Linked DNA regions of Coturnix japonica. The protein of the gene in region 2 purifies or fractionates together with the protein of the main gene of each other region. This does not show direct contact. Links are inferred from orthologs where the notes say so. Each region holds a gene or a part of one and is shown on either strand. Other genes may lie near its edges.

The links. Proteins that work in one complex are often made in the same cells at the same time.
Region 1: the proteins of SHC1 (region 2) and PRKCD purify together in Homo sapiens (affinity purification with mass spectrometry; 3 studies listed by BioGRID and IntAct, with this or other methods). This does not show direct contact. The link is inferred for Coturnix japonica from reciprocal best matches to the Homo sapiens genes SHC1 and PRKCD.

What each region holds. Positions count from the first base shown.
Region 1 is NC_029527.1:587,020-589,240, forward strand, and holds the end of PRKCD (protein kinase C delta type), read left to right. Parts: intron 1-569; coding exon 570-698; intron 699-1,153; coding exon 1,154-1,312; 3' UTR 1,313-1,720; downstream 1,721-2,221.
Region 2 is NC_029540.1:1,438,542-1,441,629, forward strand, and holds the end of SHC1 (SHC-transforming protein 1), read left to right. Parts: intron 1-81; coding exon 82-133; intron 134-275; coding exon 276-402; intron 403-505; coding exon 506-674; intron 675-874; coding exon 875-935; intron 936-1,040; coding exon 1,041-1,208; intron 1,209-1,284; coding exon 1,285-1,547; intron 1,548-1,708; coding exon 1,709-1,837; 3' UTR 1,838-2,584; downstream 2,585-3,088. UniProt on the Homo sapiens protein: Signaling adapter that couples activated growth factor receptors to signaling pathways. Participates in a signaling cascade initiated by activated KIT and KITLG/SCF.

The DNA of each region.
Region 1 (2,221 bases), on a different chromosome or scaffold from region 2:
GGCTGTGCAGATGGAGGAGAGAAGGCTGCGGTGAGAGCTGAGAGCAGCCTGTCAGTATCTAAAGGGGCTGTAAGAAAGAAGGGGATGGAGCCTGTAGCTGGGTCTGCTGTGACAGGACAAGGGGAAATGGTCTTAAGTTAAAGAGGGGAGGATTAGATTTGATATTAGGAAGGTTTTTAGTGCCTTTGTGCTTGTTTGTTTTTTACAATAAGGGAAGTGAGGCCCAGACGGGGGGTGGTGCCCCATCCATGGGGACATTCAAGGTCAGGCTGGATGGGGCTCTGAGCACTGATGGAGCTGAGGGTTTCCCTGCTCACTGCAGGAGGAGTAAGGGATGCCTTAAGGGTCCCTTCCAACTCAGAACTTTCTATGATTCTTTGAAATCTCAGCTTTTAAAAGGAGCTGCTTATCAGCCTGCAGATTACTTTGACAAGCTGAAAGCCCAGGGAGGTTAACACTGGAGTTTACTGTCAGCAGCCCTTGCTGGCTCAGCAGCACACCCCTTACTTCTTCAGTGCCACCTGCCTTCTTAGCAAATGTATGGCATCATTGGTTATCTTCTCTTGCAGCTATTTGAAAGAGATCCGACAAGGAGACTGGGAGTCACCGGGAATATCAGGGATCATCCTTTCTTCAAAACCATCAACTGGACGACCCTAGAGAGGAGGGAGGTTGACCCTCCTTTCAAGCCCAAAGTGGTACGTGGATGAGTCTTTGTTTCATGGCAATATTGCACATGCCCACATAGGAGCCAAGGGGGGTTTTATCAGTTTTATCCAGACACAAAAGAGCTGCAGGAAGGCAGCGGGTCTGTCTCTGAGCAAATGCAGACCTTCAGTGCTCTCAGGAACTTACGAGTATTTGTTGATTCCAAGGAATGGGTTTAAATGTGACTGCATGGCTTGTGTCAGTAGAGAATCGGTGGGTACTGAAGTGAAGCTTCACCACAAGTCCAGGTGCTTCTTTTCCCAAGGCGGCACAGAGCTGTTTGCTTCCACCCAACCAGATGTGATGGTGCTGCTGTTGTGTTGTCCTGAATAGGCAAAGAGGGTTTTTTTCACTGTGTGGTTTTTCACTGTGTGGTTTGGGAAGCGCTGCAGCTCTGGAAGCTTTGCAGCCCCATCTCAAACTGCTCCTCCTGCTCTATTAACAGAAATCAGCGAGTGACTACAACAACTTCGACAGAGAATTTCTGAACGAGAAACCGAAGCTCTCGTACAGCGACAAGAACCTGATCGACTCCATGGATCAGTCTGCGTTCGATGGCTTCTCCTTCACCAACCCCAAATTCGAACAGATCTTAGAAAAATAATCCGAGCGGAGCCGGACTTCAACAGCCCTAAATGTTCTGAGCAGAAGCTGCAGTGCCAAGTGCTGCGTGTGTCCCAGTGCTGCGGCCCAGTGCTGTGTCAGTACGTCGGAGTGGTAGCGTGGTGAATGATGTGTAACTGCTGATTTACTGGCAGTGTTCTTTTATGCATGGCCGGGGGCGAGGTATGTGAATCACGTGCATTATTTTCTCTGTTTGGGAAAATGTAAATTGTTTGGTTACTTGAATGTAGTTGTTTTATATATCTATAAATACCTGTGCTGTATATTTTGCTCGAGGCATTGCAGAATGGAAGCTGTCTTTTTAAATAGAAGTGTTTCTTTGAGCCCTCGGCTCTTCTGTCCTCGCTCCAAAGAAACTCATATTAAAAGCTTCCATTCTTTGCTGTGATTTTGTCTTTCCTGCAGAAATATCCAATTAAACCCCAGTTGTGTTTAATCCACGGTAGAAAATGATAAAACTTTCAAGCTTTTTTCACTTACAAAGATAAGAAAAACTGTTCTATGAGGGATTCCCAGCTGGTGGGGGCAGCAGGGCTGTGAGTTGTGCTCTAAGGCCCATGTAAAGCAGCTGGGGGCTGCAGCCAGTGCTGCCCTTAGCTGTGCATCCCTTGTTAATGAATGCCTTGATCTTTGCTAGGCAAAAATAAGAAACAAACTCACTCCCCTTCCCAGAAAGGACTTCTTAAAAATGTTTGTGTTGCAGCAACTCCCGACTTTCACTTCTGCAGCAGGGCTGGAAGCACAACTGAGCTGTACATCTGCTGCTGTGTGCCAGGCTGCAGGGACTGCTCTGAATGTATCCTGCAGGGAAGAGCTGGGCAGCAGCCGCTCTGCTCTCCATCCCTGCAGCACAGACCCCCTGACCAGCCCAGCTCCCTTCACTCACTTT
Region 2 (3,088 bases):
TGGGGATCAGAGCCTCTCCTGCCTTCTCCCCTAAGTCTTGGGCACTGAGCAGCCCTGGCTCATCACCACTCTCTCCCACAGGACACAGCTGAGTACGTCGCCTACGTTGCCAAAGACCCCGTCAACCAGAGAGGTGAGGCTGGAATTGCAAGAGCCCCATTTTGGGTGCAGCTCAGAGAGGGATTGGGTCCCTGCAGGGAATCTCTGGGGTGCACAGGGTGGGATCAGGGGGTGTAGGATTTAATCCTGCTCTCATCTCGCTGTTCCCTTCCCAGCCTGCCATATCCTGGAGTGCCCTGAGGGCTTGGCCCAGGATGTGATCAGCACAATTGGACAAGCCTTTGAGCTGCGCTTCAAGCAGTACCTAAAGAACCCCCCGAAGCTGGTGACACCCCACGACAGGTAAGAGAAGGGAGAGATGGGGGTCCATGAGGTCTATTGGTGCTGGGAGGGGATGCAGGCCTGGCTGCTGTCAGCTGTTCAGCTGTGTGTTGTTCCCTTCCAGGATGGCAGGGTTTGATGGTTCAGCCTGGGATGAGGAAGAGGAGGAGCCTGCCCCAGATCACCAGTACTACAACGACTTCCCTGGCAAGGAGCCTCCTATAGGGGGGGTCGTGGACATGCGGCTGCGGGATGGAGCTGCGCAGACCCCCAATCACCTGGGGGCCACACTGGTAAGGCGCTGAGCGTGTCTGCAAGGGGCTGCTGGGGAGGTTCTGCTATATAGGGGAGATGCAAGGACCCCAATGGGGCTGTGGGCTGCACAAAATCCACACCACGCTTCTGTCCAGCACCTCTGGCAGTCCATACTGGGGTTTGGGGAGGGGTAAGAGTACAGCAAGGTCTTTTGGTCTCACCATGTGCCTCTCTACAGCCTGTTGGCCAGACGTCTGGTGGGGAATTTGACCCCAGGAAGCAGCACGGTCCCGCTCAAGGTAATGTGATGGATGTGGCTGGTCCCCATAGGCTTTCCTGGTCCCAAAGTGCTCCAGCAATAAGTGCTGGTGCCGGAGCGCTGCTGACCACAGCGCTTTGTGCAGCAGGAAGAGAGAAATACCCACCTGCAGCGGGTGCGTCCGGCCGTACGGACCTATTTGATGACCCATCTTATGTGAACGTGCAGAACGTGGACAAGACACGCCAAGCAGCAGCTGCAGGCAGCCCTGCAACAGCCAACGGCAGCGCCCAGCGAGACCTCTTCGACATGAGTGAGTGGGGACAGCAGCTGCAGGCTGTGCACTCTGTGCTGGGTGTGTGATGGAGCCCCTTCCTTTTCTCCTGCAGAGCCATTTGAAGATGCCCTTCGTGCCCCCCAGTCTGTGCCCGTGACCGTTCCTCCTGCCCAAGTTGTGGCCTCCATGGAGGAGCAGCTGAGGAGGGAACCGTGGTATCACAGGAAGATGAACCGCAAAGAGGCTGAGAAACTGCTGAAGGTGAATGGAGATTTCCTGGTGAGGGACAGCATCACCACCCCGGGGCAGTACGTGCTGACCGGCCTGCAGGGTGGGCAGCCCAAGCACCTGCTGCTCGTCGACCCCGAAGGAGTGGTGAGTCTCTATAACCCCAAAGCTTGGGGGGCCCTACATCTCCCCACAACCCCACCTTGGGGACACCTCCGGGCTGGCTTAGGGGATGGAGGAGGCCTGGTAAAGCATAGAGGGGACTCCTGGGTGTATCTGCAGCCTCTTGAGTTCCCTATTCCCTGCAGGTCCGGACAAAAGATCATCGTTTTGAGAGCGTCAGCCACCTCATCAGCTACCATATGGACAATCACCTGCCCATCATCTCAGCTGGCAGCGAGATGTGCCTGCAGCAGCCAGTGGAAAGGAGACTGTGAGCTCCAGGGGGGCCTCGGTGCGCACCCCCCCACACCCCCCAGCCCTGCTTCCCACCCTGGGGAGCACCTGGACTCAGCCGGGGCTGAGCGTGGACTGCCTTGGGGATGGTCCTCACCCTCCCACCACCACCACACGAAGCTGGCAGCCCTGGGCTGCAGGCAGCGTGGTGTGAGCTGCCTGTGGGGCCGGGGGGCTGGTAGTGCCAAAGCCCCCTCCTCTCCTCCCAGCTCCAGCCTTTTGCTCAGCTCATACCAAATCCCGGCCCCATACGGTGTCAGCACTGGGGGGCACCAGCCCAGGGCCGGGTTCTGCTCCAGCCTGGTTGGAACTGGGGGTGGCCAGGCTTCATCCCATGAGCAGCACCAGCCCCGAGGGGTTGGGGTGGGGGGGATGGAGTGGGGGGGGCTCACCCAGGGCTGTGCCCTGCGCTCTGCTCCCCAAGCACAAACAAGGCCCGGCCGGCCGCGCACCGAATGTACCCGATCACTTTATGTGTAACTGTGCCTTGACCCCGCAGGTCCCACACATATATGCAATGCAGCCGGGCTGGGGTGGGGGGGCTGCCAGCTCCTTCATGCCCTCCAGGTCCTGCCAAGCCCCTTCTCGGGCACCTCCCTTAAAGCCGGAGCTGGCCGGGTCCCCACTGCATGCACCTCGACCCCCCCCCGAAGCCAAAGCGCAGCCCAGCCCCGGCCCCGCTATAACCAAAGGATCCGGCGGTTCGTATTAAAGTTGGTATTTCTTTACGATGCGGCTGCTGTGTTGGGGAAGGGGCGGGTTGAGAACCTAAGGGGGTGGCGGCCGGGACCCCTCCCCCCTGAGCCCCCTCCCCATGGTTCCTCCCTCCCCCCTGAGCCCCCCTAACGTGGTTTCTTCCTTCCTCCCCCCTGGTCCCGCCTCCCCCTGGTTCCTCCCCCTCGTCCAGAGCCCCCTCCCAAATGGTTTCTCCAGCCTGAGCCCTCCCTGCCCATGGTTTCCTCCCCCCAGAGCCCTCCTCCCTCGGTTCCTCCCCCCCCGACCCCCCCCCGACCCCCTTCATAGGTTCCTCCTACCCCCCTGACCCCGTCCCATTGGTTCCCTCCTCCCCCACCCCCAACTGTGGTTTTCTTTTCCTCCCTCCTCTCCTGAGACAGCCTCCCTATGGTTTTCCTCCCCCCTAAGACACTAACGTGGTTCTTCCCGCCCCCCCCCTCTAAAAGTGGTTTCTTCCTCTCTGCCCCCCGAGGCGCCTCCCATGTTCCTCCTCCACC